Tamandua tetradactyla: one gene and its partners. The protein of the gene in region 3 purifies or fractionates together with the protein of the main gene of each other region. This does not show direct contact. Links are inferred from orthologs where the notes say so. Each region holds a gene or a part of one and is shown on either strand. Other genes may lie near its edges. The genes, in order: ARHGEF1, ARHGEF11, GNA13 and ARHGEF12.

Region 1 (7,969 bases), on a different chromosome or scaffold from region 3:
CGTCATTGGGCCACTGGCTGCAGCTTCTGGGCCAGACAACATTGCCATGGGATATGGAAAGTCTTTGCTCAGCCCACTTAGGGATAGGAAGGCTCCAAAGCAGCAGGAGGACCCCAAGGGGGGAAGGAGTGGATGCACAATATCTGAGCCACTGATTGGTACCAGGCCCCAATTCAGGTACTCAATACCTATTATCTCTTTATTCCAGAAATTCAAGTACTCGACACCTATTATCTCTTTATTCTAGAAAGGACAGAGAATTATAGGTTGAAGCTGTTAGAGGACAGATGCACCTACAGGCATCTGACAGGGACTGGGGCACAGCCAAGCGGATGCTGCATGTTTGGGGGCTCTGGAAGGTCAGGCACGTTTAGATCCATAGGGATGAGGTAGGGGTGGGGATGGTGGTCCTACAGCAAAGTGAGGACTGATGGGGGACAACATGGAACCTGGGTTCTCTGCAGGAGCCAGTGTCTATAGGATATTGAGATGACCCATGTGGTTATGTGTCCTGTCAGAGATGGGAAAATCATCACTGGGCCACCAGCTGTGGCTTCTGGGCTGGACAACATTGCCATGGGACCTGGAGCATTCTTGCTCAGACCACTAAGGACTAACTGTCCAAAATATGGGGTGGTGGGGACAGGGTGTCAAAGTAAGACTATAGGGAGCCCTGAATTTATAAGGGCCCCAGATTATATTTGATATCTATAGCAGTGGTTCTCAACTTGGGACGATTTTGCCTGCCAGGGGATTCTGGGCAATGTTTGGAGACATTTTTGATTGTCAATAACTCAGTGGGGAGAGGAAGGTACATGTGTGCTACTGGCATCTAGTGGGTAGAGGCGAGGGATGCTGCTAAACTTCTTAAAACGTAGTCCCCCGCCACCAAGAATAAACGGACCCCAAAGGTCAACAGTGCTAAGGTTGAGAAACTAGTCTATTGTCAACGGACAGGGCCTGGGACACAGCAGAGGGGGCACCTGTGTGCCTGGGGCTCTGGGCAGGTCAGGGCTGACTTAAAAGATCCATAGGGGTGGGGGCTCTAGAGCAAAGCAGGCTCACATAGGGGACCTCATAGAGACTTGGGTTTTATGTGGGGCTCAGGGTCTGTAAGATATGGAGCAAGTGACCCAGAGTTTCCAGGATCTTTGGGAGCTTTAAAGAACCCAAAATACAGAAGAGTCAAGGTGAGTCTATAAGGAATAAGGGGCCTTTGGAATGTATAAAGCCCTAAGATTCTATCTGACACATGGTGGGTCTACAGGAATCCGGGGATCATTTTGGGTTATAATTCTGTGGTTGAAATAGCCAGTCTACTGGACCTCTGGAGAGTTAAAGGGCACAGAATTCTAAACGGGCAAGTGATGCATCCAGAGATCGAGGGTCAATTGGGCCCAGATTCTAAGGGATGCTATTGATCTATGAGGGATCCTAACGTCTACCAGAAGCCGGGTCTCCATGGGGGGCTAGCAGGTACCGGAGGGTCTGTAAGACCTTGTAATCTATACGGAACGTGGCAGGTCTATGCCAGCCTCAAATCTTACAGGGGACGTGGCTGGTCTACTTGAGCCCTAAATCCTCTAAGAGACGTGGCGGTGTGAGCGGCTGGGGCATGCCGGGGTAAACGTACGGAACAGGGCTCTGATGTCCGCCGGAGACCGCTCCCCTCACCTGCTCGGAGTCGGAGAAGAAGCCGCCGCAGCTGCCTGAACCGAAGACTCCGCGCGCCGGCTCCAGGATTCCCCCCACCCCTGCCGCCGAGCCGCTCTAGCCGTCCCACAGGCCGCCTTTGCGCCCAGCTCCACTCCTCCCGACAGCCGTTCTAGCCCAGGTCCTGCTTAGCTCCTGCCCCTGCGACTCCACTCCTCCCGCCGGCCGCTCTAGCTCTCCACTGCGCCACGCTGGCCAGATAGGGCCACTCTGGCACGTCTTGGAGGGTTGGCGTTTCCGTATCTCGACTGCTCGCGTCACTCACCCGAGCCCCGCCCCCTTGCCAGAGGTGCGGATGGTTTCAGCCCGCGGGGTTGGAGCGCAGAGATCTCAGATTTCCTCGGCCTCTCCCCTTGGACTGGGGCTCCCCGACCTATCCTGCCTCCCCACTCGAGGACCACCTGAATTCCCGACGCCAGTACATCAATCCACCCCCACCCAGCTTTCCACTGGGGCTAGCAAGCAAAAATCCTGTTCTGACCCACCTTTGCCCATACCTTTATTACCAGGAAAAAAAAGTTATCACTTCTTTCCAGGCCTCAGTCTTCTCATCTGCGCATTGGGGGAAGGTCCCTGGCTGTCTCCTCTCTACCTATCTCCTAGAGTATAATTAACGACCCAGAAAAGAGCTCTCCAAAAACGCTTTCAAAAGCTTCACGGCGGCCTCTGGGTGCTATTATTGTTTTTCTTTATTAGGTGACCCTAAAGCATTCGGGGCTGGGGTGTGTGGGGGATGGGAAACGCTAAGCAGAAGGTACCTGCAAGTTCAAACCCCAACTCAACACGGTCTCAGGATGTGTGCGTCCTGGGGCGTGTCGGTTCTGCTCCCTGGGCCTCAGTTTCCCCACCCGTACAATAGGGGCGCTCATCCGTCCTTCACCTGACAGCTGAGGCCTTGACCCCGACCCTGCATCCCTCATCCCCACCCAGTGGGCACTGGGCAAGTAGTAGTTCCCCTCCCTTTGACCCTTTTGACAGGTGGGGAAACTGAGGCCCAGGGACGGGCGGCCTCTGGCTCCGTGGAGCCCTGAGGAACCGCGCCCTAGCCCCCCTCCCCACTTCCCCCTGCAGCGGAGGGGAGGGAGGCCGGGCGGGGCCGGGGACGGTGTACCTGGGGTCCGGCGGGGAGGTGACCGGCGGGGCGCCCGAGGTGGGGCTCGGCGATCCCGGGCCCTGCGTCCCGGCTCCCGCTTCCTGGCTCTGGCGGGGCAGGAAGTTGGGGCGTCTTTTCCGGAGGCCCCCGCCCCGCCGCCCCTCCCCGCTTCCTGCCCGTGCCCCGCGCCCGCCCGGCACCTCCGCTTCCTTCCCCTTCTCGCCGCCCCCCGGGGCCCTCCCCCGCGCTCCGCCCTGGGCCCCGCCCGCCTGCCAGCGGTTGTGTCTGTCTGGCCGTCTGGCCGGCCGCCGGGCGCGGCCTCCAGGTCCTCGTGTCTCTCGCCTAGGGGTCCGCCGGCCTGTCACCGGGGGTGGGAGGGGGTGAGAGGGGGCGAGAGAGTCGCCCCGCGCCGGCCTCGGGCTGAGCAGTGGCCTCCCTGGGTGCCGTCGGTGTCGCTCCGGTCCACAGCCCCGGGCTCCGCGCCTCCCTCTTTCTCGTCTTCTCTGTACATTTGTGTCCGTGTCTCTCCCTGTGTCTCTGCCCCACCCCGCGCCCCTCTGGGACTCTGTCTTTCTGTCTCTTTGTCTCCCTGCTCTCCCTGGTCTCTGCGTCACCCAAAGCACCCTCCTCCTCTGTCCCTTCTCCCTCAGGGTCTTTCTCTTTCCATCTCTCCCTCTTACTGGCCGAGTTTTTCTGCATCTCCATCCTCAGTCTGTCATTTCCGGAGTGTTTCTTTTCCTCAGGGTGTTGGTGGGTCTGTCTCTCCATGTCCATTCATCTCACGCCCCATTCTTTCCTTTCTTATCTCTTCGTGCTGTCTGTCTGTCTCTGTGCTACTGTTTCTCTGTCTCCTTGGTCCTTTCTTTCTCTTGCTCTGTCTCTCCCTGTCTTCAGTCCCTCGGGACCTCGTGTCCCTCTTGTCACTGCCCCTGAGTCTCCCTACCACCTCCACGACTCCCCAGAACCCTCTTCTGCAGGTCCCCCCAAGGTGAAAACGTGTGGCTGCAGTTGAGGAATTTGGTACTAGGCCCACAAGACGGTTCAGCGTGTTTGCTTAGCTGCGCACAAATATGGTAGCCTTGCCTTGCAGCGCCCCCTAAGTCCCTCCCTGCACATGGCCTGGGGTGGGACTTTAGAGGAGGACAAACCACCCCTCTCCAAGGCACTTCCTGTTTCTCTTAGTGGGTAACTAAGCTTGCCTACCTGCTTCCAGGTGTCAGGGGTGGGGAGGAGAGGGCTGGGGCCGGGACCCCTGGGTCTGAGGGAGGAAGGGGCCGGGGGCTGGACCCTTGAGACTGAGGGAGGAGGGGTGGTCCAGTGCCCATGAGATCCATGACTCCTGCCAAGGTCTGCAGTTGGAAAGGATTTATTATCACTAAGTAGCCATGACAGAGCAGTGGGTGGGGGTGACACTAACGAGGCTGCTACAATCAGCTCCCCCTGAGGCAGCGATTAAAGGCTCATTACCCGCCGGGGAGCCTGGGAAAGGAGGCAGAGGAAGGGGGGTGAGTTAAAGGTGTGTGGTGGGAATGAGGACAGTCTGCAGGAAAGGAGAGTCGACCACCCCACTGAGGGAAGGGTCTAGACACTGAGGAGTCCAAAGAGACCTAGGAGGGAGGACACCTCAAGGAGCAAGACGACACAGGAGCTCCCCGGAAGACGATGGAAATACACAAACGTTCCAGGTGGAAAGGCACTGACATGGGGAGCGCTGAAGGCAGGAGCGGCCCTCTGGGGTCACGGCTTCTCCAGCTGGACATCTCCAACGTGGAGGCTGCCCACGTCCTGGTAGGTCCCCTGGAGGCCCCTGGAGATGTCTTCATACATGGAACAGTCATCGAGGTTCAGGCCCTGGGGTGGAAGCGTGGCGTTGAGCACCGAGGTCCCTGCTCTGGCCAGCCCCAGGGAGCAGCCCTGTGCAGAGCCCCCCAACGCACCTGCCCCTACCCTGACCCCACCCTCCAGTCACCTCATAAAGATTTTCATCTTCATAGTCATCCTGGATGTCCACCCCGAACTTCTCGTTCTGCCACCGTTTCTGTCAGGGAATGGGGGGCTCAGTAAGCAGAGGAGGAGGCGGATATATTCTCAGCACCTCCTGGATGCGTGGAGGTGTTCTGAGTGCTTCCCTTTAGAGGAGGGGAAACTGAGGCCCAGACAGGGTGAGGATCACACCCAAGGCCACACACTGGGAGAGGATGTGGACTTTTTGGCTCTCTCCGTGGCCATTTTATTCTCATGAGCAGCAACACAATAAGACGGGGGTGGGGGTGAGGGGGTACTTGTGGCCTGTGGAGAGCCTGGGAGAAGTCGAGCCCCCCAGCCCCCATCTTCCCCAGCTTTGGCATGGGGGAGGTGGTCTGTAGCTTTCCTGGATGGGGACTGGAGGAGGATGAGACCCACTGGGTGGGTGAGGCAGAGTGCTGCACCCCTGGGATTTTGGGGAGTGAGAACCCTGGAGAAGGGGGATGTGGACACTTGGGGGGTAGGAGAGAGTGAGACACCCCTCGGGTGTGGGGTGGGGAGAGAGGGAGACACCCTGAGCAGGGGGATGGGTAAGGACACCCCGCCCGTGCCTGGCACCATTTCAAGTCCACACTAACTGAACCCCCGAGGCCGCAGTGAGGAGAGTGCTGGCGCTCTCCCCTTTCAGACAGGGCGTCTCGCTCTTGGGGTCCCCGGGGGCTCACCCGGAACAGGAGCAGCGTCCCAGGCACCACTGCGCAGAACAGCAGGATGATCCCCTCGGCCGTGATGATGCGGTTCTTGGTGCCCTCCGCCATGGCCAAGAAGGGTCTGGGGAGGGGCTCTGCGCAGAGGGGGTGCCACTCAGCGCCCCGGCCCTGCTGCCCTCCCCAGCCTCCCGCCCACCCCTGCCCGGCCCCGCCCGCCCAGGGCCCCGGCCTGGGGCACTCACTGCGCACGCGGAGGTAGGTGCCGCAGGAGTTCATGTGTGTTTTGTTGTTTTCCTGGACCCTGCACTGGTACATGCCGCTGTGGCTCTTGTTCACCTGTGAGATGGTGAGCTCGCCTCTAGGGCCCTCACCCATGCCCATGAACCTGGAGGGCCACGTGTGGTTGCTTTGGAGGATGAACCACCAGGTGACAGTGGTGCTGCTGCTGCTGCTGCTGCCGTTGTACAGGCACAGCAGGCGGGCCTCATCCCCCACGTTCACCGTCACCGACGGGGGGCCCGAGTCCACCCACAGGGCCTGGCACCAGGGGCCTGCGGAGAGGTGGGGGGTCAGGGCCCGGGGAGGGGCACTCAGGCCCCAGCCTTGGCCCCTGGGGCTGCAGCAGGCCTGGGTGTGGACACCCCTAGGGGAGGAGAGTCAGGGTACCTCTTGGCGGGGAGGGGGAGACACCAATGTGGGAGAAGTGGGAGGCTACATGGTGGGGGGGCGGGGAGTGACGATGCCTCTGGGAGAGCAGAGTAAGGATGCACTTGGGGTGGTGGGGGGTGGGGGGAAAACCCCCAGGAGTCCCCAGTTGTCTCTCTACTGCAATCCCTTGACCCCTCCCGACACCCTCCTTGATACTTTGGCCTCACTGGACTCGCTGTCTTTGGAAATCTGGCTCCTTAGCGGTTGAAGTCCCTTTGCCCAGATAGCTTCTTCCAGAATCGCTTTGGCATTTACCTGTTCCTGGAGGCCCTTCCTGGTCCAGTTTCCTAGCCCCAGCCCCAGCCCACTCCTGCACCTGATGCTTCATTTTGTGTCATCTTTATAGAACCTTCTTCCCATTTTACAGGTCGGACTGCCAGGGCCCAGGGAGAGCAGGCTGTTTGCCCAGCGCCTCAGGGGCAGTGAGGGGTAGTACTGGGCTTCGAACGCCTTCTTGGGCCCTCCCTGCCTGGGGCTGAGGAGCCAGTCTTTGGGCCCTGCCTTGCCGTGTGACCCTGGGTCAGTCCTTTTTCCTCTGTACCTTGTATGTGTCAACCTGGGGGTCAGGGGTGAGTTCAGTCCTTTGCTGGGATGGGGGTTAGTGGAGGGGCTCAGCGGGCTGGTTGACATGAAGGAGACGGGATGGAGGGAGCTAGACTGGCTGCAGTGTCTGTGCAGGGCTCCCGGGGCCCCCAGCTCTCAGCCTCCCCTGGCCAGACCACACTGCCGCTCCCCCCCCACCCTGCGCCCCTGCCATCTGGAGGTGGGAGGAGGCCTGGGGAGGTGAGGAAGAGACAAGGAGGAAGAGGCAGTTAAAGGGACCAAGCAACATCATAGTCACGGGCTCTAGACTCAGACAGACGTGGGCTGCACTCCCTGCTCCCCCTGTGCAACCTGACCTTGGGCCAGTGACCTCCCGTCTTCTGAATTCCTCTAGAGGTCAGAGGAGGCTGTCACAGGTCACAGTCCCTGCCAGCTGGCCTCGGAGGGGAGGGGAAGGGAGGCGCTGATGACTCCCATCCTCCCACCTCCACCCCCAGCACTTAGAAGGGGTTCCCTACGGAAGGGGTGTCCAGTGTTCAAGGTGAAAGGGGAGAGAGCTTTCTGGCCGCTCCGAAGCTGAGGGCTGCCCCCCCCCCCCCCCCCCCCCCCCCCGTCTCCTTCCTGGCCCCAGCCCCAGGGTGGGGCTCTGATGAGAGACCTTACTTCCTTATTTTGGCCCTTGAGCATGAGAGAATGGGGAAGGTGTCTTTCGCTTCTGCCTCCCTCCATGGAGCTGCAGACACCCCTCAACTTTGCTGAGGCCTCTCCAGCCTCCCCTCAGCAACCCCTTACTGGCTAACTGACCCCACCCCCCGCCCCTGCCCCAAGTGTTGGACCGACAGATGCATTCCTCCAGGGGACTTCCCCAGCTGCCCGCTCCCACTTCGCTCTGCTCCTCCAGCCTTTCCCGGGGTTCACCTCTCCGCCGCCCCCCGGCACCTGCCCCTGGGCCACATACCCAGGCCAGTGGTAGAGAAGAGGAGGAGGACGCTGACAGGCAGAGCTCCAAGGATTCCTGGGCCCCCAGGCATCTTCCCCCAGTGGGTCGGTCGGTCTGGGTGGCAGCAGTCCTGGGGTACCAGATCCCACCCCAGCCCATGCCCCGCCCTACTTCCTGCCCAGCCCAGCCGGATTTGGGCTCCACTGGTCCCCAGGCCTGGGCCCTCTGGCTGCTGGGTCTGGGGCAGCCCCCGCCGCCGTCCGCCCGGGACACCATGCACCAGGGCTGCAAGTGGAG
Region 2 (7,794 bases), on a different chromosome or scaffold from region 3:
GCCTCTGCAGCTCTTTTCTACCCATCTTTCCCTCCGCCTGAGAGCTCTTTCCTAGGACAGGCCTCTCATTCCCCTCCCTTCCCCACCCACTACCGGATGTGAGATTTTGCCTTCCATAGAAAGAAAGGCTGTAGACTGGGGAAAGGTTACATTTGATCTCAGTTCTCTGATAGAGAACAATTGCTGGGTCTGGGTTTATTTTGAATTAGTAAAGTCATGCTTCTAAGACAAGGAAAGGCCAGAACAAATCCTTTCCATCCCCATCACTGAAAGACATCTAAGTGAGCTAAGGACAGCTGAAGTCTCCCTCGTTTGTTAAAATTCCCAGGAAGGAGATTCAATAACCTTCCACTTTTCTTCTGGTATCACCACCCAACCCTGACCACTGGAATAGTATTCTTTCTTACTAACCCCATTCACTCTTGCATCCATAAAGTCTGTTTACTTTCCTTAAATTTTTCAAACTAAGGGAAAGATATTTTAGCCTCCTTAATTTGTTCTGGGCTACAAAGTAGTGCATGAAGCTTAAATTAGGTTCGTGAGGTTCTCTTCTAAAATTTATACTGAGTTTTATGGTTTGGAAAGCAATCTGAAATATTTTATCTCATTTGTTCCATTCCTTCCAACAGCTCCATGAGAAAGGTGGGATAAATATTATAATCTTCAAATGACACTATATGAAAACATTTGTAAACTGGAAAGTACTTTGCATGAATGAGCCACTGCTTCACAGTTAGGAGCCAGAGAGGGTAAAGTAACTTGCCCAAGGTCACACAGTTAAAGGGTAAAGCCACGGCTCAAATCAAGAACTCTTGGCTTAAATCTAGTACTTCTCTAAGGCGCTGTGTGGTCTGGTCTTCACATAAACTCTCTAACTTTGCACAGAGAAAAGCTGTTTCATAGATGCAAAACACATAACCAGATTGGCCATCTCAAAATCATTTAACATAAGGAACTAGACACCTGTATACAGACAAATAAGTGAAACTCATGACCACTCCTGTAAAAACAATATCTCTGTTTGTAATACCAAACACAGTTTGAGAAACTCTTGAAAGGAAAATATATTAGTGGGCAATAAATTTGTCCATGGACAAAATGTGAAAGGACACTAATTAATTACACTTTAGCCTATCATCTTTCAGTATGATTAAAATATAAGGACTAGCCATAATTAATAATTAATGCTTTCTATGAACCCAGAAGTCAGAGTTGAAAAAAAAAAAAAAACTCTGTCAAATAAATATTCCAAAGCCTTCTTTACTCTGAGCCACAATACCTCCCCATATACAGGGTCCTCAACTTGTCACTTAGTTTCTAGGAAATGCACCTCATCTGGAAGCCTTCTTTAACTGACCTTATTGAACTATATTTGAAATTAACTCACGAATGTTGAAACAGTCTGAAATGGAAGAATTTATACTTGCTCACATGTTCATTCCAGCATTCACTTGTCAAATATTTATTGAGCACCTGCCACCTGTGAAGCATTGAGCTAAGCACATTGGATATAACAAAGTAAACCAAACAGTCCCTGCCTTCATGGAGATTACAGTCTAGCGTTGTATTATGTGGTCTCTTGTGTTTCCTAGGTCACCAATTATATTATGTGCTCTTTGTGAGCAGGAACTATATATTTTAATTTTCTAAAGCACTCTTATAACACCTTACACTACATTCTATACAAAGAGAACCGACAAACCAAAAGAGAATCTTTGACTACATAATCTGTAACATTTCCTCCCACTCCATCCCCCCAGTATGGTGTAAGATTGCCAATTATTTTAAAACTCCATAGGGTCATAAAACTGGGATGTCAAAGCGTCCAAAAGAATGAGCTTACAGCTAACAGATCAAGATCCAATGCAGCTGGAGATACCCAGAAGGAAGGGGACCTGGATGCCAGAACTAAACCTATAAATTGGAAGAGAAGCTTGGAGATGGTGGAAATGAGGAATGCTCTCACTGGACAATTGATACATCACCCCGCAGAAGAAAATGGTGCTTTATCCCCAGACTACTAAACAGAAAGTGTAAAGGAATACCTTGATTGCTGAAGACCATCTTCCCCTACTGCCAAAGAGAGAGAATAAAATGACAACGCATGTTTCTACATGACGACCCTCCTGCCCCCGACACTGTACAGGACAAGTATAAGAATCAAGTTACTCAGGGTGGGGTAATAAAAGGAGTCATGGGTTCAGAATCAGAATTGCGTTTGAGTCCAGCTTCTGCCATTCATCAGGCAAGATGGTACTGGGCAAGTCAGGTATCCTCTCTGAGACTCAGTAAAATGGCAACAACCTTGATTTATCTATCTCACATAAACACTGTGATGAGAGTCAAATGAGATATGTACTATAAAAGCACTTCTGAAACCACACCACGCTATACAAATCCTGAGATGACTGTAAGGATAGATAAACTCCAGAAGAGCTTCCCACATCAACCCAGGAACCCTTACTGCCTCCTCCTTCTTGCAGCCCCACCCCTGAATTCACAGTAGTAGTTCACCATCCACATCTCAAAAAAGGTAAGTGCACTAATTCCCAGTGGGGAGACGTAAACCATCTAACTCTTTGCCTCAATCTGTCTCAGGTCTCCCTTTACAAGGGTCAAATGACAGAGAAGGGAGTGGAGGTGGCTCAAACCCGCCACATACACATTATATCCTTTGTAGCTGTCTGCCTTCTCTCCACTGCCAAGTCAGATCCCTGTCTGCGGACTGCTGAACTAATCTAAGCAGGACTCTGAAGCAATACAGAGATTAGTGTTTGGGAGAGATTATGGGCATTTTAGGCTACATTCCACAGTCAAAAGGAAATTATTATGAGCATGGATAACCAAAGGTTAACTTAACTCAGAGAGAGCAATTGCTCCCCTGCAAATGTTCTTCCCCATCTCTCTAAAAATACTTTTTTCCAGGCCCAGTCCTTTCATTCGCTTGTTCAATCCTCTATGCACCCATCTATTCAGGTAGGATGTGTGTAGCACCTACAAACCACTCCCTCCCCACCCACCCCATCTCAGATCCTCAAGGAAGAAGGGAGGCAAGGAAAAGGCAGAAACTTTACAAAGTTTGTACCAATCCTTTGGAGCAAAGAATTACAAACACAGGGTATATATTACCAGTGACAGAGGAGGCTTTGCAGACTCTTGGCGGGGGAGGGGATTATGTGCTAAGAAACCAAGGAGCCAGTACCTCTGCCCATCAGACCTCAGAGCCCCAAACAACTTCTCCTCTAAGCAGAGGGGAGCTCCGTTTTGCAGAGTCAAATTTATCCAACACTGCAGGGAAAATTAAAGCTAGAGTACTGGCTGGCTAGCAAGTCTCAATTTAAACCCTAAGCCTGGAAAGAAAGAAATCTTAAAATGATCTATGCATTTTGGGGCGGCTGGTAAAAACACAGGCCTGTCTAGGTGCAAAGGGTGTTTCTTGTACCATCATTTAGTCCAAGAACATCCTCTTCATTCTAGAAATGGAATTTATCCCATCCACAAGCCCCACCATTCCCTAACAACCAGCCTGATAGAGGCCTGCACTTGAAGCCACCTCTTCTAACACATGCCCCCCCCCCCGCCCCCCGCCGCCGGGGCCCTTCCCCTAGCAATTCCAACACCTAAAACCAATCCCAGTCCACATGACCAGGCTTCCGTCTGCCTCCTACACTTGGCAAGATGGGGACCCAAATTCAGCCTCTAGCCTGGCAAGTCAAAGGTACCTAAAAGCATTTCCCTGTCTCTCCTTTCCCTTGGTTTCATTGCTCATGGCTTGTATTTTAAAACACAGAATCAAAAGGTATGTTTTGAACATGGACACACACAGAGGGAACATAAACACAAATGCCAGAGAGGCCCAAGAGACCCAATGCTCCTATGTCAACATTTCCCCACAGATTCTAAAAACCATAGCCCACCCAGACCATTCTTTTGTAACCTTTTATCAAAATGCAACACCCTCCCAACCAGCCTTTCTTTTAGTAAGTGTAGAAAAATCAAATTATTAGCAAACCTACCTGTCTATACTCTGGGGTAACCTTACACTCATGGTTTCTTGATGTCTCCACGGTTCCAGAATCCTGTAGCTTTTGGTGTCTTGAACAGGACTGAATCACTTGCAATTTTTAAGCAACGTGAGAGGAGGCCCTCCCAACTTGAAGACTGAATCTTTTTTTCCTCCAGCACTCAGGACCCTGGTAACTGAAGCTCCATTCTACTTATATCAGTTAACATGGTCTCCTTTCTTAGCCCCCGCTACCCCTCCCCCTCCTAAAAAAAAAAAAAAAAAACGAAAGGAAAAGAGGAAAAACTACGACCTTCTTAGAAACCAAAACCCCAACCACAAATCTCTTCAAGGTTAATGCTATGGGCTAAAAAATGAATCAGAGAAAGAATGTGACTTCAAAATATCAGTCTTAACTGTAAAATACAGATAACCATCCTTTTAATCCAGTTTTCCCAGCTGTCCTTCTGTTGGCAAGGGAGCCTAAAGCTCCAAAGAAAAACAAATTTTCTGGTCTCCAATGCTTAAAACGACGACAACGGATATATGTGAGGGAGAGAGAGAGAGGGGGGGGGGAAAAAAAGGATGAATAAATCCGAATTGGCACTTGTAAGAAATCTCAGCTGATTTGCACAGTAAAAAAAATAAATAAACCCATACAATAGTATGTATACAACAGCACTCCTTCCAAGTCCTGTGCAACCTTAGGAACCAAAAATGTATAGATTTCTTTTTTTTAAAAAAAAAGATCTTTCACTTTAAATGCTTTGAAATTCTTAAATGAGCCAATCGCACACACAAAAAATAAAAAAAAACACCTGAAAGGTTAAAATGCAGTGCTTTTTAACCTTTAAAATGGAAGCAATAAACACAAAAACAGAGACTCTCTGAAAATATTCTCTCTTTTTCTTTTTCCTTTAAACTTGCAGGTTTCTCCACCTACCCCAGCTTGGTTCTCAGACCCAGCTTAGGTTCAGCCTTTTTCTGAAAGACAATTTCCTGAGTTAGTTCTGCTGTTTTGCTCCTCCACATCCAGGCTCCGAAATTTTCTCCTGCCTCAGCCTCCATGAAACGGCGATTTCGTTTCCTCCGTTCCCCCTTCTCTCCCTCTCGCCCGGCCAGAAAAACTGCTCCCTTATTATTATTAGTTGGGATTATTATTGTGGATTTGAGTTCGGGGAAGGTCTCTCCTCCCACCAGCCTCCTGGAAAATCCGATCGCCTCGCTTCTCTCGGCCTCGCTTTTTCCTCCCTCTCCGCCCCGTTCCTCAGCTCGCAGGCTGGAGCCCACCGTGCTCGGCGCAGGACCGCCGGCCGGGCCTCGGGCTCCCGGCCCCGCTTGCCTCACACCGACCGCCTCGCTCCGGCCTTCGCGGCCGCTCCGGACTCCAAGCTCGAGCGCAAGCCGGGAAGGCGGCGGCGGCGGCGGCGGCGGCGGCTGCGGCGGCTGCGGCCCGGCACCGGCGGGCGTCCGGCTCCCGGCGTCGCGGCCGCGCTCGCCTCCTTCCGGGCCCCTTCCCCCTCGGCTCGCCGCTCGCTCGGGCGCAGGCCCGGCCGGCCGCCCCCTCCCCGCCTCCCCTCGCTCGGCCTTCCCCGCGAGCCTTTCTCCTGCCCTCGCTCCCGCGGGGGGGCGGGGCCGCAGGCTCCTCCTCCTCGCGGCGCGGCCCGCCGGCCTTTCCTCTCACGCCCGGGCCGGGAGCGCGGGCCGAGAAGCTGCCCGCCCTTCCCTCCTTCGAGGGCTCGTCTGCCGGCCCCGCTCCCGACCTCTCAGCGCGCCCTTTCCCCCTTCGGCCCTCGTCGCCGCACCCCGGTCGGTCCCCGCCGCGGCCTCACGGTCGCCGGCCCCGCCTCCCCGCGCGGCCTAGCTGGTCCCCCCGGCTTAGCCACATCCCGGGCTTTTCCAGGCCCGGCCTGCGGGCGACCCCCGTCCGGACCCCGCGAGGCACCGCGCGCCGCCCCTCCCTCCGCCTCGCCGCTTGCGCTCGGGCGCGTTTTTCCCCGTAGGTACTCGCGCTCCGCACCCCGAGCTTTGTTATCCCCGCCTGACCTCCCCCCCGCCGGCCGCGGTGCCCGGAGCCGCAGACCCGCCCCGACGTCTTCGGGTTTTACCGTTTTGCATTCATCGGCATCACCCCTGCTCTCCCAGGTCCTCAGCTCACCCTCGCACCACCGCTTTTCTCATCTTTATTTTTAAGGAATTTATCGGGCCTCCTTGCGTGGCCAGGAGCTTTTTAAACTCCCCCCTCCTCGTTTCCGTGGCTCCCCCCACTTCCAACACGCACCGACTACACGGGAAGAAAGACCCTTAGCAGATGCCCCTCCGGCTGGTTTTGGCATCTTAGTACCGGACCGTGTGAAACGTATTTGAACTCGATGGGAAAGACTTTCCAGGACAAATCTGTTTTCATAACCTCCTCAGCTAGAATCATGGTTTCTAAATCGAAGTAACAGGGTATTTGTCAGAAGGTCCCAAGCGCTGTGATTAAAAAAATAAGATAAATAGAAAACTTTGGTGAGGACTGGAGAGTGAACTTTGACTTCTGGCCTAGGGAGGTGCTGGTTTTCAGGGTCCGGCTGTTAGTGGCATGTGTGCATAGGGTCTCTGCTCTTCACACCACTTTGACTGGGGTTGAAAGGAATATATACATATGTATATTTACCTACCGTACGGACTGTGACCCCAGCAGTGTTTGAATTAATAGGTTTGCAAATAGCAAGAGGAAAAAGAAATCAAAACCCTCCTGAAGATCTACTCTGAATTAGGAATTTCACCTAAATTATGTCAGGGACGGGTTGGCAAATAAATGAAAGACCTGCTGCCTCCATCCCTTTTCCCCCAATCCTTAGGCCAGAACCCCCAAAGATAACTGGTCTGCCCAACTGTTGGTCACCACGTTCCAAATTCCTACTCGCTTTACTGTTTCTTCCCTCCTCACACTACCTGCAAAAATGATGCTTCCAAATGTCAACACTTCCTCTTATGGGGATAGACCAGTGGTTGCCAAACATTTCTTTACCATGTTCCCTTAATAGGTGTAATATCTGTTCTCTCTCTCTTTTTTTTTATTTTCAAGATAGAACTTCAGATAATGTATTTTAAATATTTCTTCTTTTCTATTATATTTAAATAGAAAAGAATTTCTCTCTAAGCAATGCTTTATCTGATTCCTTAAGGTTGTGCTTTCACTGTTATTTAGATCCAGTATGCTAATTTCCTGCATGTTTTTTTGACCCATGGTTATTTAGAAGTTTAAGTTATATATATTTTGTAAATATTTGGTATCTTATTGTTGATTTCTAATTTAATTTATATAAAGAAAATATTATCCCTATGATTTCTGTGCTTTTAAATTTGTTTAGACTTGTTTTATGACCTGTGTACTTGAAACGAATGTGTATTCTCCTGTTGTTGGGGTGAGCTGTTCTAATACCAACTAGTCCAGTTTGGTTGGAAGTGTTCTGTCTTCTATATCCCTGCTTGTCTTTTGCCTTCTTTATTAACTGCTAAGAGAGAATTTCTGAAATCTCCAAATGTGATTGTGGATATATCTGTTTTCTCGTTATCAACTTTTGTTTCATGTTTTTGGAAGCTATATGTATTTGTTAATAATTACTTACAGGCATTTAATTATGTACTCTATAAAACACGCCCTAAGAGTAGAGATGTTAAGAGTTTAAAATAAAGATGAAGTACTTTTTAAAAATCATACTTTTTAGTAAAAGTTAGTGGCTGTCATGACTAGAAACCATACTTGTCAAAGATAATTTTTTGGAAAATTGCATCCTTTAATA
Region 3 (7,687 bases):
TACAACTGCTCTTTTGAAGGATTTTAACATGTTTTAATTTATAAAACTTAAGATTTCTGGGGTAGAAGGTGATCACAAGGGAACTAAAACCAAGGAAGGAAAAAAATAAATACTGCCGGGCCTGGTGTTCAGGCTCTTAAGAAAAAGGCTACAACCAGAATTTTATGAGCCTAACCAAAAAGACATTTATTTATGAAATGCCAAGGACCCAATCATTATCACTCTGCATTCTATTTGTTCCCTCAGCACCCTGTCTACCGCAACACTGTGTCTGCTGGGAACAGAAAAAACTCAGAAACTTCTCCCAAATCAAACTTCAAAATACTGTACATCACAGAATGGTCTTTGGAATCTCTGAAAGGAAGACTCAACTACAAAATGAGATAAAAATAGGGACTGCAACTCACTGAGGTTTGTTCAAACCCAAAAGTCAATCACTAAACTGTTACTTATTTGTCCATCTTCACAGTCACATGCCTATTGGAAACCATTTTTTGGGTATCTAGAAAACTATTTTTCTGTCAATTTTCTGATTATGCCAACTCAACAAAACTAGGTGCCTTCATCACCAATGCTCAAAATCCAATGCTCATTAAGGAACCAGTTATTTACCTGGCTCTAGATCAGTTAACATGTTGACTCTGCTCATTAGCATAATTCCTTAAATTCAGCTGCACCAGGATACAAAGATACCTTCAATTAAGGAGTGGTAAGGCAGACAGTCTGTGGCCTTGAAAGAAACCTTAACTAGTCTTGTGCTAAACTTTAAGCAGGGTTAAAGAGAACTGCTCTCACAGTGGTCTGTACACTTTCATGCTCCTCCCCATTCAGGGAGTTCTTCTTTACTAAACCCTTGGAGAAAAAAAATGACATGAAGGAGTTGCTTAAGTACTTCTTGAACATCCCACTTAAAAATTTTTAAAAAACCGTTTCAAGGCAGGCCATGGTAGCTCAGCAGGCAGAGTTCTCACCTGCCATGTTGGAGACGGAGACGGGGGTTGGATTCCCAGTGCCTGCCCATGCGGAGGGGGGTGGGGACCACAAAATGTTTGAAAAGCCCCCAAATCTGTGGCAAACTCCTAGATAAATGATACTCAGATAAAAGAGAAGCCTGATGCGCCTTAAGTACCAAGCTCTGTGACTCAGTTTTGTCCTAATGCTTTTTATGCAGAAAATATGTGATTCTAAGAAAAATGAATGCTAATTATTTTCAAATGGCAAAAGAAAAACATTCTTCCCTAATTCTCTTAAGTCCAGAATTAAAAATTTTGTGCCTTTTCCACTTAAGGACAAATTTTAACTTTTTAATTAAAAAGATACAGTCAAACAGAAGCAGAACCTGTAACCCAACCTGAGACTGATCTTAATTTAGTGACTCAACCTGTACAGAATCCACATCCCTTTTTCTAGGCCAAAGACTCTTTTTTGGGGGAGCAGATAAAACTTTAATATCACCCAAACGTTAATTTCTAATCCTTATTATATAAAAATATTAGACCTTCAAGTCTACTATAAATATTAACTAATACTTAGATAATATATAAAATATATAAAATAACAACAGTCTTCATTTTATATAAGAAGCATGATCAGTCTCTTTTCTTACTTTTCAACCCTACTTATCAAACCAAAACGGGTTCACAGCAAGGGCATCTTAGGCCAAAGATTCTTAATATTATCACTCAATTTCACTTAATTAGGAGAAGCAATTGATGGTACACTCCCCACTTCCCCCCACTTAACAAAAAACCAGTGTGGAACGTGTAGCACAGTGACTATGGGCAAACATCCTGCCCGACCGTGACAATGCGGCGAAAAACCACGGATGTTAATTTTTCAGAGGTAACCGTATGGATCTACCCTTTCCTGAATCGAACACAGAGAAAATGACACCCTTAAGTATCAAATGCTTTTCCAAAAGAGACCGACTGGCTGTCACCCTTCGCCCTTGACAAGAGACTCGGATAAAAGTTTTCTTCTTGCAACGGTTCCAGAAGTCCCGTGGCTCAGAAGGCGGCCTAGGCAGCCGGGGGTTGGGCGCAGACCCGGCCCATGTGACTCGGTCACCCACCCCGCGCAGCGAAGTTTGCGCTGCAGGACCTGCGGGGGTAGGGGCGGGGTGGGGGGGGGGGTAGGGTCTCATGCCGGCTCTCGGGTCTTCCAGCCTCATCTGGAGGGAGGAAGGCAGACGAGGTCACCATGCACCCTGAGACACCCGCTCGCCTGACTCTCCTCTAGGAGGGAGCAAAGCTAGCGGCGGGATGGGGGGGGAACGGGTCGTGACCCCCACAGGGGCAGCAAGGGGGAAAGCGGGACGCCCCCCGGGGATCCCCTCACCTGGAGGCGAAGGAGTCCCGGGTGGACACGACTGGTACCCGGGGCGCGCCCCCTCCCCGCCCGGGCCAATCCTGCGCTAGGGACCGAGCGGGAGAGGGCGGTGGCCGGCCCCGCGCAGACCGCCGCCGACCTCAGGCTCGGCCCTCAGTCCCCGGCCCCCGACCCCCGGCCCGGCACCTTTGATCACGTTGCTGTAGATGGTGGGGCGGAACTCCTCGCGCGCGCGCTGGTCGAAGTCCTGCCCGTGGATGATCCGCATCTGCTTGAGGAAGGTGGACTTGCCGCTCTCGCCCGCGCCCAGCAGCAGAATCTTCACGAGCCGCTTTACGTAGGTCTTCTCCCGGGACAGGCATTTGTCGATCTCCTTGGACTTGCGCTGCTGCTCGGCCTCGCCGCTCGTCAGCACGCAGCCTGGGAAGCACACGGACAGCACGGACCGCGACGGCAGGAAGTCCGCCATCTTGCCGCCGCCGCCGCCGCGGCCGCCTCGGCGGGCCCCTCCGGCTCCCTCCACCTCCTCTTCGGGCGGCGGGCGGCTCCGGCACGGCGGCTGGAGGGCGGAGAGCGCTGCGGCGGCCCGAGCGCACCCGGGGAGGGGAGAACGAGCAAAGTGATTCGTAGGGCGGGCCAGGCAGGGAGAGGGCCGGGTGAGCCGGGGAGGGAGGGCAGGAGGGCGGGCCCGGGAGGGGCGGTGGCCCCGGGGCGTACGCGCGCTCGCTGTCTCCCGGAGACGCGCACGCACGCTGCTGCCTCTTTCCCGCACCCTGACCGAGACGTATGAGTCACGCGCTCGCTGGCTGGCTCTCTCGCGTGCCTGCGGCCGCCGCCCGGCGCGCGCGCGGAGGCCGGGAGCTGCTGTCACGTGGCATCCGGCTGGGCCGGGCGGCTTGGGGCCCTGCGTGCGCCTGCAGAGCACGACTTTCTGTTTCCCTTTAATTAACTGCGTGCACTTAGGGGCCGAAGGGTTCCTCCCCCGAGGCCAGGCGGCCGGGGCCTGGTCACTGCCTTTTGGGCTCCCCCTTCTCTTCAGCCATCTCCGCCGCCCTTTCTTTCGGTTACGTGCCCACCGCCTGCTGTCACCGTTCCCATGCCTTTTTCGAGGATACTGACTCAAAAAAATTACCCAAACGGCGGGCGAACACACCTGGAAGTCTTGGGGGTACTTTTTTTCCCCCGCGGCTCAGTTGACATGCTGCTCTCGCAAGCTCAGAACCATAACCAGAAGTCGTGTTTATTCCATCCTCTCCTCCCACCCCACACCCCCGCACCCCTGCAGGTCTTTGTGGCATTCTCAGACCTCTGTACGGGCCCTCCTTTAAGGAGGAAGAGCTGGAGTTGGTGTTAATGTGAGAGGCGTTCGGAGACGTGTCACTGGTGTGGGTTCCGAGCTGCGCCCCGACTGCGGGCGCGCCGGCCGCGCGGGAAGCTGGACGGCGGCGGAGGGTGAGGTCATGGTGAAAATCCCCCTAAACCGGACACTGTCCTGCGGGCGCTTCCGACGAGGAAACAGATAAGCAAACAGACGGAGGACAGGAGCAGGCACTTCGTAGGTTTCCTGCTAGATTACAGAGGATGTGACCAGCCAAGGGGCTTTTCTGTCCCAGCAGATTCGGAGCAGGACACCTGAAAGGACTGCTGGGGAATGAACCTGGCGAGTGACAGCTGGGCTGGAAGAGCGACTCACCTAGCGAGGACCCTGGAAGCCGATTCTTACTGTTTAGTTTCAAGTGGGAAAAGCCGTTTTACTCTGCCTCTGCTTTTGGCAGCGCAACGCAGTGCTCCTTGGTTTGGGTTCCTGTAACAGGGGAGCTTCCTGTGTGTTAGGGCGGTGGGGGGAGATGAGAGGTGAGCGTGCAGAGAGGCTCGCGAGCACGTGTAATTAAAAAATAGGTGCTGATCATTTACTCCTGGGGTTGGGTTAATTACTGAGATGCCTCGTGACTCAGTAAACTAGCTGCTGTGAACAATGCTGGTAGTAGAATGATCTCTGGTTGTCCTGACCAACCCCAGAGGGTGGACGGTTTACGATATGCAGTCACCGCCTTCTTCTGCAGGTTGATAGGGTCAGAATCCCTGGGCAGTGCAATACCCTACACGGGGTGGAGCTCTTTCTAGGCTCCAGAAGGCCTGTTCTCCAACCAGGAAGGGCCTAACGTGTCGCCCCTGACCAGCACAGAGTCAGCCCCCAGGCACCATTCCTGCTTGGACTACAGGTGCAAATCTGGAGTCTTCTTCAGCTGAGACAGGAGGAGGGAAGCCTATACATTAGATACACTTTTTTTTTTTTAATGTGTGCTATGTAATGAAGAACAAAGAGTACCTAGCAGGCAGGAGGTATTCCTGCCCAGCCAAGTCATGTTGTGACAGGTAGAGTAACAAAGAAAGCTGTTCAAAGCCCTGATTGTAGTCTTCCCATGGAACAAGCCTGACTGCCCTATTGGTTTGTTTCTGAAAAAGAGACCTCTTTGGGCCCAGCCTGGGCTTTGGCTTCAGCTGTCCGACTGCCTCTTAACTAACTGTCTGGTGATATTGATACCTTGGAAATTTTGAAAATAAAAATGAGTTAGGGAGTTGGCAGTTCCTCAAAAAGTTCAACATGGAATTACCATAGGACCCCACAATTCCATTTCTAGGTATATACCCTAAGGAATTGAAAACAGTTGTTCGAACAAAAACGTGTACACAAAAAAATGTGTATAAGAAAAAAAGCGTACGTGAAACACTTTTTGCAGTCGCCAAAGGGAGAAACAACCTAGTTGCCCATCAGTAAAGGAATGAATGGGAAAACAAAATGTGGTATATCCATATAATAGAATATTATTCAGCCATAAAAAAAGCAATGAAGTTCTGATACATGGGCTACATGGGTGAACCTGGAAGACATGTTAAGTGAAAGCAACCAAACACAGAAGGCCACACAGTGTATGATTCCATTTATATAAAATGTTGAGAATAGGCATTTCATAGAGACATAAAGCACATTCACATTTGCCAGGTGCTGGGGTTGAGGGGAGAATTGAGAGTGACTGCCCGATAGATACAAAATTTCCTTTTGGGGTGATGAGAGTGTCCTGGAATTAGTGATGTTGGCTGCACAACATTGTGAACATACTAAATGCCACACAATTGTGCACTTTAAAATGGTTAAAAAGGTGAATTTTGTGTGATGGGAATTTTACCCCAATAAAAGAGTGTTTGAGAACAAATAAATATATTCCATAAAAGAAAAGTCATCGGCATCATTTAACGTTGGAATACATACTATGTGCAACTTCAAAGAGTGAAAGTTCCATTGTGTTTATTTTAAAAATAACACTAATAATTGTTTGCGCCAGAAGCAAATCTACTGTAGCAGTCACTGCAAGTTACAATATAATATTAGTGACATTTTAATTTTCAGATAGATTTGTTTCATCACTGAAGAAAAATCCAGATTTTTAAATGGTGTGTAGAATCTATGGGTTATAATTGAATATACTGGGCACTATATTTCCAATAGACCCAGATGTTAATTCATTAGAATTATTGTTTCTATATTGTTTCTAATGAATATTATTTATAACATATAAATTTATAAACATATAAATGGTTAGTCAATTTATATGCAGATGAGATATTCAGATGCCCTGTGGAGGTGTGAAAAAATTCCTCCTGGAATGGGTGGTTAATTGCAGGGCTCTTCTTCCAGGAAACACAAAGGCTAGTGGCACTCAGTTTTGCAAGAGAAACATTGGAAGGTATGACTATAAATACATTTCCAAGCAGCTTTCTCCTTTAATGTTGTCACCTTATGAAGGCGCAAGCCCTTTCCAACAATGCTTTCAATTCTTGAAACCCATTGGTCATTCTTTTCAGTTCTAAGGTGGAGTCTTCTTCAGCTAAGACGGGAGGAGGGAAGTCTATACATTAGGTAAATATCTTTTTACTGAAAGAAAAACATTCTTCCTACCATATAGTCATAGCTTATTTTCAATTTTAAAAAGTGACATTATGGAACTTATTTACCAACCCTCGTGCTAAATAACTTGGGCTGTTTACAAAAATCAGAATTAGCCACGAAAGACAAAAATCTGTCACCCTCAGACATATTCAGAATAATGTGCCAGAGGCTCTAGGAAGGATTCCAAAAGAGAAGTTTAAAAATATCTGAATGATGAGAAATAGAATTTAAATAAGTGTTTCACTTGCCAAGATGACTTGGAATGGGACAACACCCATTTAGATATGTTTATTTAAAAATCAGTCACATTATTTGATGATTAAACCTTGTGTTAATTTTCTAATAAAAATAATGACACATCCAGCATTCGTATTACGCCACTCTCTTCTGTCTCATCATTAACATAAAATAGGTGGATTCTAGTCCTTTCTTACTGATAAAATAGGCATGAACCTCATCCTTTCTTCCCTTCTAGGAAAGTAAGGGAATTCCCTGGCCCTCTCATAATATAAATCCCTTACATTAGTGTAATGTTAATAAAACAAAGCACTTTGGCCTACTTTCCTCATTCTCTGCTCACAATAGCCCCACGAGGAATTGTAAGCTTTAGACTCGCTCCCTTTTGACACACAAGGAAGGTAAAGAGGAGTTTAAACATCTTACTCAAAGCTTTACTTACCAATAGCAGAGTGAGGACTGGAACCCCCACCTCTTGACTCTGAGTCAAGTGATCTTTCTGATATACCAGTATGGCCAGAATGCCCAGGTGTTAAAAGTTCAAACTTGAGACGCAAGTAGCTAACCCTGTGTAAGCACGAGGCAGCATAGAGTCCAGCAGTTGTGTTTGTTTCTTTTTGTGTCGGTTATTCCATCTCCTTTTGGGGTGAACACCACCTCGGGGCTCACACCAGTCCTTAGGCTGATCCTGGGAAGATATTGAGTACTTTGAGCTTAGCCTCTGGGTTGTAAAATGTTCCCAGGTGGCTGATAAAGAACTGAGAAGAGAGGAATCCCACTCTGGCAATATATACATGATATGCAAGTCCCATACGTTCTCTTTAATGTGACTTAAGTTTGAAAAGGCAACCCTTTTTTTTTGTAATGAAATCTGGGGGTGCTCTTACCAGAATAAGTCTTTCATGTGGAGCGTTTCGGATGAAACTAGACATGTGGAATTGAATTGTCGGTGGTTTTTTGTTGTTGTTAATAATGGAAAACATGACTTTAATTGCTGGTTGTATTTTTCTCAGCCTCTGTAAAAGATCTGTGAGCTGCTGTTGACCAGCTGTGACCTCAACTCAGCTGAAGTCAGAAGCCTGGCCTGTCTTGCAGACACATCCTGCAACTCATATAAACCCTTATACCCTGCTTACTGCATCGGACCCATTTATGGGCAACTATTTACATAAC
Region 4 (7,322 bases), on a different chromosome or scaffold from region 3:
ATGCCTGCTGTGTTAACTCTTCACTGCACAAAAACCATATAGCTAGGGCTTTGGATGTGAGATGAATGTGGTGTGCGCAGATTTACTGAGTCCAGTTGTACAGGTTCTGCCCTACCAGGAAAACTGTATGCCAGTTCTCAGGGCTTTTGTGCATTAATCTCCTAGGCATGAGAGGCTGTGACTAAATTCCATAGGGATTTACTATGTGGATTCCACTGTGCTTGAGATGGCAGTTCAGGTTTCAGCTTTGCTGTACATATTGCAAACGAGAACCAAAGACTTTAAAAAGTATGTACTGGCCTCAGGGGGGAGATGAAGCTAATGTTTTGTTGTTGTTACTTCATATATTTTCCTTTTTAGTCCTCCTCTTCTTATTTCTCTCTTAAAAAGGTACCACTCTCTTTGGACACATTATTTTGACCAGGCCAATCTTGGAATAAATAAAATATATTTCTTAGAGCAATGGTCTATAATCACACCTTGGAAAAGCGAGAATATAAGCCTAGAATAGGGGGTAGAAATAAAAAATTCCTGGGTTCTTTAACTAATTTTGCTACTCACTCACCAGATTATTTACTCTTTGCCTCAGTTTAAACCTTTTTGTGAGTGAAGGAAATATCCCGGCATGTATTCATAGAGACATTGTGTGGCATTTTATTAATGGCAGTCTTTAAGTTATGACTTTTATGAAAAAATGAAGTATTATGTATGTATTTATTTATTTATTTATTTAACTATGTTATGTAGACCAGTGAGTGTCTGACTAGCTCAGTTGGTGAGCAAGTGTGTGGTGCTTATTGAAGTCAAGTAGAACGTCAGTCCATTCCATGTCACAGAAATACTAAACTAATGAGTGTCTTGAAAGTGGATGTTTGTATGGTTGGCCATAGAAACAGGCATGAGGGAGTGGGTGGAATTACACAAAGTCATCACTGCTATGGGAAAAGCACCTTTAAAGGCATATTAACAGTGGGTCTTTTTAAATGATTGCCATTTGGTTAGAAAGTTTTACTGGGCATTGACACAATCAAACAGATGGCATCTGTGCATCTTATTTCTATTATCAGTATCCCTGAGATGCTGCTGAGCTTCCTCCCAACAAAACTGTGGTCAGCCTAGAATGCTGGGAAGTGCTGATTTTAGCAAAAGCCTAGTAAAAAAAGAGTGGCTTGGTACATGAGCTTAAAAAAGAAAGAAAAAGAAAAAGCTGGCTCTTGAATTTTGGCACAGTGCAACCTGTTCCATACCAGACAAATGAATAGACTTAATCTGGTACCAGTTCTTTTCTCTTGACTCTTCAGAAGCAAAGGGATAGCAGATCTTGCCGTTTTGGGGCACTCTCATGGGAAAGTACCTAGTGTTTTTTTGAACCATGAGAAATCTGAATACGAAAAAGGGAATCCCTCATTTCAGCTGTTCTTGACATTGTGGCTAATAACTATGAAGAAACTTCTCTGAGAGAAAAAATGTGAAATGAAGATGACTCAGCAGTTAAAATGCTGAGTTTCTGCACCACAGGTAAATGAAGGGCTAATTAATCTATGGTATGGTTGGACAAAATGAAGTACTCATTTGCATTTGGATTGCTATGTAATAATTATTGATACTGCCCAAGAACGATTTATATATAAATAAGATTTGTACTAAATTTTATAAAAATAAACACATTTAAAAAATCAATTCAGAAGTTTTTATATCTTTTTTGTGGTTATACCAAGAAGCAAAGAAAAAAAATTTCTGACTTTTTTTTGCAGAAATATTGACTCATATTCATACTTCTCAGTGAAATACCTCTTATCAGTTGTTATCGGCAGCCATTCCTACTATTCTTTATTTTAGGGAGCAACAATCTACATATTGAAAAGTTTGTCAAAAGAGAGAGGAAAAAATTTATTTCTTGTGCTGCCACCTGACTGCCTTGAGAATAATAATGTGGAATGAATTCCTTGAAGACAGGGCCTGTGGCTTTCTTCAGAACTGTACTTCCAATGCCTCCAACAGTATGCAACACATAATAGGTACTCAACAACTATGTGGACAGAATGGAGAAGGCGATGGGAATGTGGTTTAAAATAATCCCCATTGGAAAACCTCCTGAAAGGGAATGCCTGGTGGCTTGGGTCATCAAGGTCATTTTTACCCCCGGAAAGGACTCCTTGACTCTGGGGAGTATCTTCTAGCTAAATTGACTCTTCTGAAGAAATTCTATAGATAGAGCCTTTAGAACAGTCAAGAGCTATAAACAGCTGTAAAGAGGCTTTCAAGGGACATTTTTTACCATTAGAGCTTCATGGATGAATATAGAGATTTTCATCATTAAAAAAAAAGTTCTGGAATGAATAACCACTGGCTTAATTAAATCCTTTGCTTACCATCTTCTGAAGCTTTCCCACAGCAAAATGCCTTCTTTGCTCACAGCTAGAACTTTGAGTCTGTTTAAGTTTGGAAAGGTCTTGAAAGCAGTCTGCCAAGAGGTTTTGTATGCAAGGAAGAGAAGGTGAATTAGGAAACTTTCCCAGTTTGTTTTATTCCTGAAGCTCAAGTATTGAGGTATTCTTGACGGGAAGAGGGGAATTCATTTTTAAAATGCATGATTGATGAGTCACTGGGAGCAACTAATTTGACACACTGTAAAATTTTTAGTTTTAAACGTATTCAGTACATTTAAGAAAGAATTATTAAATTGGACATAAACTTTGGATTTTGGTCACTGTATACAAAATGGATGGAGCTCATTCGAATTATGTGTAATATACAATTTAATTAGTGTCTTCAGATAGAATTGTCATCTAGGAAACACCAGCAGGTGGCAATGTGTCTTGGTCTGATCATTAGGAAAGTGGCTTGGAACCCTAATGTGCTTCTATTCTTTCCAAAAATAAACATTACAAAATTAGCTGGCTGTGCCTTGAACTTAAAAAAAAAATCAAGCAATAAAGAGTCATCTTTGGACTCTGTTTTGTTTATCTTTTCCTTTTGGTTCCCCCGTTTTAACGTCACCCTTAGCGAATGCATCTATTCAGGGATAATAATCCTTTCATGAACTTTGTGGAATGACGTTTAACAAACATTGTTAAGAAGTAATTGTTTCTTCTTTCCACATCCACTGCATATTAGATTTGATTTGCCACTTGATTTCCACAAAATGGCTGAAGCCACTCACCCACCAACTTGTCTAAACGTACAAGTCTGAAAATAGTTGAGTAACAAGGGCAGTACTTCAGACGTTTGAAGGCAGAATTAAAGAACTATATTATATGTTGCTGTTAAATTGCCACAATACCGACTTATTCAAACATAAAACTTGGATATCTAAAGCTCTGTCTCCAAACGGTAGGGGGGAAACCCCAAAGAATATTTGGGAACTCTTCAGAGAGAATAATAATGCTATTGGATATTTTTTCTCTCTCATTTCGTCTCACAATAAGCTTGTTAAATCATAGTGGAAAGCATTATGCTTTCTCAGTTTGGCAAATAATACATTTCATTTTGCCAAGGCAGAAAAAGCCTAAAAACAATATTTATCCCAAGAAATCCTGGCTTCAATTTCCAATTCCAGTCCCTAAGCCCCACACCTGCCACCTCCCACCCTAGGCAGCCAGGACTTAAGCGCCACGGCCCCTCTCCTGGGACGAGGGCAGCAGGTGCTCCAGGTGAGCTGCCCGCGCCAAAACCTCTCTCTTGGGGTTACCTTTAGGGGAAGAGGAATGGGATCCGGGATGGGCCCATCGGTCAAAAGCATTCTATACGTGTTAGAGAGTAAGGAGAACAAGTACATTCAATTAAGGAACAGAAGTTTCTAGGTCAAGGGCAGAGGGGGTGGTAAATTCCAAAGGCAGACCCTCATCATGAACTCCTAGGGACTGGGAGAGTTCTCTTTGGAGAACTCTGGTTAAAACTGAGTTAATACACGCTCAACCCCGACGCACAGCTCTCCGGCAGTAAGGGGGCGCCGGGGTGGGGGTGACGGTGTGTTAGTTGGTGGAGCTCCTGTGGCCTCAGGCTTTTCACCTTCCTCCGCCCCGCAGGACTACTTTTTCGTTCCACCAAACAAGGCTCTGGCGGAGGCGTCCGCGCGGGAGCCGCGCGAAGACGAGACGGTAGAAGCCGCGGAGGGATCTCGGGTGAGGTGGCTTTCCGAAGTCCGAGGGCAGCAGGCCAAAAAAGTCGGGGAGGAGGGGGTGGGCGTGGAAGGGAGAGAGCGAGCTCGCCTGGACGGGGCTGGGGCCAGGAAGGCCGAACCGGAACCGGAATCCGCGCGCGCGCCTGCAGTTGTCGCGCGGCCCCCCGCGGCTAGTGTCCTCCTCCTCCTCCGCACTCCGCGCGCGCGCCCGCGAGGGCCCCCGAGACCCGGCGAGCCGGCCCTGTGAGGGGAGTCGCTGCAACTCGCCCGCCCGCCCCCTTCGCGGGCGCTTTCGGGCCGGACCCGACAGGAACCTCCCGCCCCTCACGGGAACCGTCGCCTCTTGGAGCGTCGGGGAGGAGCCACCTCAGCCGACTGCGGAAGATTCCGGCCGGGGAGGGATGGGGAGCAGCCTGCGGCGCTGAGAGACACAGGTCCCTGTCATTTCAGGCCGCGGGACCCCCTCCCTAACAGCACCCGCTGCTCGTCACAGCGCTCGGAGCCTGGTGGGGGCGGTGAGGAAGACGAGAGGGGTCCCTGCCCCGGGGATATGGAGCCCCGTGAGCCGGGTGCGGGACTGCCCGAGACGCTGCAGAAGCTGCAGCCAGGAGCCGCCGGCAGCCCCAGATAGAGACCTGGGCCGAGAGGTCCTGGCCCGGCGGCGGCGGCGGCGGCGAGTTTGAGACCCCAAAGGAGGAACCGACTCTCGTCACTAATCCGATCCCTCCCCAGCCCGGAGGGATTCCTGGGTCCCCTTCCCCGCGGCTCGTGACTTCCCTCGGTGACGAAGTTTTTTCCCTTGTGCCTTCCTGAGGATTTATCACTAGCTTTAGAACTCGCCTTCTGGCAGACTTTCTCGGTTTGTTTGGGGAGATAACTTGTTTTGCTCCAGCCTATATCTACCCTGTCTTTGACCCCTTCCAATCGGATGCTCTAGATGACTGAATGGAGTTTTGAGTTGGACTTTTGTGTCCCTGAAGGAGTTGGGCCTGATCCCAGAGCACTGGGGGTGGGGTGGAGGTGTTACTGTAAAATGCAAGTTGGATAAAAGGAGCACCTCTCGCCAAGGGCCCCAATGAGTGGCACACAGTCTACTATCACCGACAGGTTGGTATGAAGCTCCTCCTGCTCTTAGTCTCCCGAGGTTCGGCCCTGCCTACTGCCGATTGCCTTTGATTAGTGAAATTGACAGGCGGGTTGTTCGGGAGCTATGCAAATAATTTAGGGTTGCTGCCGAGTCATCCGGTTGATTAAATTTGGAAATGTAGTTTTTCTGGAGAGAAACTTCTCCAGATTACCTGTAAAGCTATAGGTAAAACCGCGAATGTGGTTTTCTGTCTGTAAGTGCATTAGAATCTGTACTCAGTCTGAAACCAAAGGAAGGTCATTTTAGGTGAAGGTCAGTGTCTGAAGTCGGCTGAGTATTGGTTTTTCCTCAGTTTTAGTCCAATCCTGCAGTCTCTAGACACGTTAATTTTAGGAATTTCGATTTGTGAAGTTAATTTTGAGTTGCTGCATGGTGATTTATGATTTTAATCTCTTTTAGGTGTTGACCTGCATAGTGTTTACTTATCTAATAATTTTCTAGAATGTTAAATTTACCAGTACATCCCAGGCTCTTGCTGGAGGCACGATCAAGGACTGGGGGGGTGGGGGGGGGGGGAGAGGGAAAATCGTGAGACTTTATTTTAATTATTGAATTCTAATATTTTCAGAAACATTTGTATTTAAGGGATATAAACCGTAAGGTAATTATGTAGTACAAGCATGGCAGGTAGATTTGTTAAGTTGTTTGTCTTTTTTAGTACCTGGCTATGTTGCGTTGTTATATTTGGTGAACAGAGCTACACCATAGCAATCTGAAGGGGGTTTAGAGATATAAGTATATTGATTCCTTTATCACACTTTATTTCTCAGTTTAATTATGAGACTGTATCCTGGACCCAAATATCAGTCAGCTTGTTGTTGTTTTAAGTCAATCTTTAAACTATTACATCATTAAAAAGAATAGATCAGGTAACTGAGAGGCTCTGGTTTTTAAAAACATTTTGATGTAAAGTGCAACAATAGAGTACCTCCAGAAAGCACATGAATTTACTAATAAGGGAGTTTTACCCAATTGTAAGACTCACTTGTTGATTTTAAAAGGGCCAAATTCCATTATCATACCATAACAGCTATTCCAGAAACAGAAGAACTTCCTCTTCCTGTTGATGCTTTCCAGTGTCATGTGACTGTTCACCTAAAAGATTCCATTAAAAACTTAAACCATCTATTTGTTCCCTGGTTGCATATTTTTAAAAATGGGTTTTATTTTTCAATAAAATAATTTTTTGCAGAGCACACAACAGAAATAGCAACAATGCTAATCTTATTCTTTTCTAGTTGTCCCCATTCCTCAATTATACAGGGTGTTTTGCTTTTGAGAAATCACTTTCACGGGTTTTTGGGTAATTGTTTTCCTGGATCACTCAGTTCTTGCCCTTTCTGTTGAGTTTGTAGACAGAAGGTCTTATTAGGAACTAGTAAGTTCCTAAGTAGCGTTGATAGTTTTCATTGCGGTGCTAGGGGCATTTAATTTTGTGGAAACAGAGCTTAGTGCCCCCAGCTCCTTCCAAACAAAAATCACCAAATGCCCCCCCCCCCCCGCCCCCCAAGTAATGGCCTTTCTTCACCTTTGCTCCCCAGGGCTTTTCTTCCTATTTCTGTTATCTGGGAAATAAGATCTTGGGATTTGTGTTCTTTTTATAACTCACTAGAGGTATAAGCTTGAATAAACATGCAATTATTTAGAGCCTTTTTCTGTGCCAGGTAGTGTGTGAGGCACGAAAGATGGAAAGATGAGTATTCTAAGTATAAGATGAAACTGCAAATTGTTTTGGGTATTTATAGCTTTGAAACTGGTTCAGGTGCTGCTGATGTTCCATATTTTTTTAAAGGAAACAAAAACTTTTAATTAAGCACTGCTGAGAGTATGAATACCTGTTTCTTAGGAATTTATTACGAGTTTTTTTTTTTTACAAGCATTATTCTTATATGATCACTACTTTTCCTCAAAACATGTCCTTTCTGTAAATATTGATCATCTGTTTGCTCTTTAAAAGAGTAGTTGTCCTTGACTTGACTTGCATATACGTTGGGGTGAAATTTGGAAGTATTGGTTTAGTATTATTTATGTGCCAGGGGGCCTTAACAAAGT

What was found.
Region 1: the proteins of GNA13 (region 3) and ARHGEF1 purify together in Homo sapiens (affinity purification with western blotting; 5 studies listed by BioGRID and IntAct, with this or other methods). This does not show direct contact. The link is inferred for Tamandua tetradactyla from reciprocal best matches to the Homo sapiens genes GNA13 and ARHGEF1.
Region 2: the proteins of GNA13 (region 3) and ARHGEF11 purify together in Homo sapiens (affinity purification with western blotting; 3 studies listed by BioGRID). This does not show direct contact. The link is inferred for Tamandua tetradactyla from reciprocal best matches to the Homo sapiens genes GNA13 and ARHGEF11.
Region 4: the proteins of GNA13 (region 3) and ARHGEF12 purify together in Homo sapiens (affinity purification with western blotting; 3 studies listed by BioGRID). This does not show direct contact. The link is inferred for Tamandua tetradactyla from reciprocal best matches to the Homo sapiens genes GNA13 and ARHGEF12.

The regions. Positions count from the first base shown.
Region 1 is NC_135342.1:21,590,526-21,598,494, reverse strand, and holds the start of ARHGEF1 (rho guanine nucleotide exchange factor 1), read right to left. Parts: upstream 3,008-7,969; 5' UTR 2,825-3,007; intron 2,811-2,824; exon of another isoform or gene 1,675-2,810; intron 1-1,674. Other genes in the region: CD79A (B-cell antigen receptor complex-associated protein alpha chain), read right to left, coding at 4,544-4,657, 4,776-4,844, 5,497-5,615, 5,724-6,032, 7,691-7,763. UniProt on the Homo sapiens protein: Seems to play a role in the regulation of RhoA GTPase by guanine nucleotide-binding alpha-12 (GNA12) and alpha-13 (GNA13) subunits. Acts as a GTPase-activating protein (GAP) for GNA12 and GNA13, and as guanine nucleotide exchange factor (GEF) for RhoA GTPase.
Region 2 is NC_135330.1:10,069,339-10,077,132, forward strand, and holds the start of ARHGEF11 (rho guanine nucleotide exchange factor 11), read right to left. Parts: upstream 3,004-7,794; 5' UTR 1-3,003. UniProt on the Homo sapiens protein: May play a role in the regulation of RhoA GTPase by guanine nucleotide-binding alpha-12 (GNA12) and alpha-13 (GNA13). Acts as guanine nucleotide exchange factor (GEF) for RhoA GTPase and may act as GTPase-activating protein (GAP) for GNA12 and GNA13.
Region 3 is NC_135332.1:8,914,127-8,921,813, reverse strand, and holds the start of GNA13 (guanine nucleotide-binding protein subunit alpha-13), read right to left. Parts: upstream 3,015-7,687; 5' UTR 2,798-3,014; coding exon 2,515-2,797; intron 1-2,514. UniProt on the Homo sapiens protein: Guanine nucleotide-binding proteins (G proteins) are involved as modulators or transducers in various transmembrane signaling systems.
Region 4 is NC_135334.1:20,292,655-20,299,976, reverse strand, and holds the start of ARHGEF12 (rho guanine nucleotide exchange factor 12), read left to right. Parts: upstream 1-4,321; 5' UTR 4,322-5,198; coding exon 5,199-5,230; intron 5,231-7,322. UniProt on the Homo sapiens protein: May play a role in the regulation of RhoA GTPase by guanine nucleotide-binding alpha-12 (GNA12) and alpha-13 (GNA13). Acts as guanine nucleotide exchange factor (GEF) for RhoA GTPase and may act as GTPase-activating protein (GAP) for GNA12 and GNA13.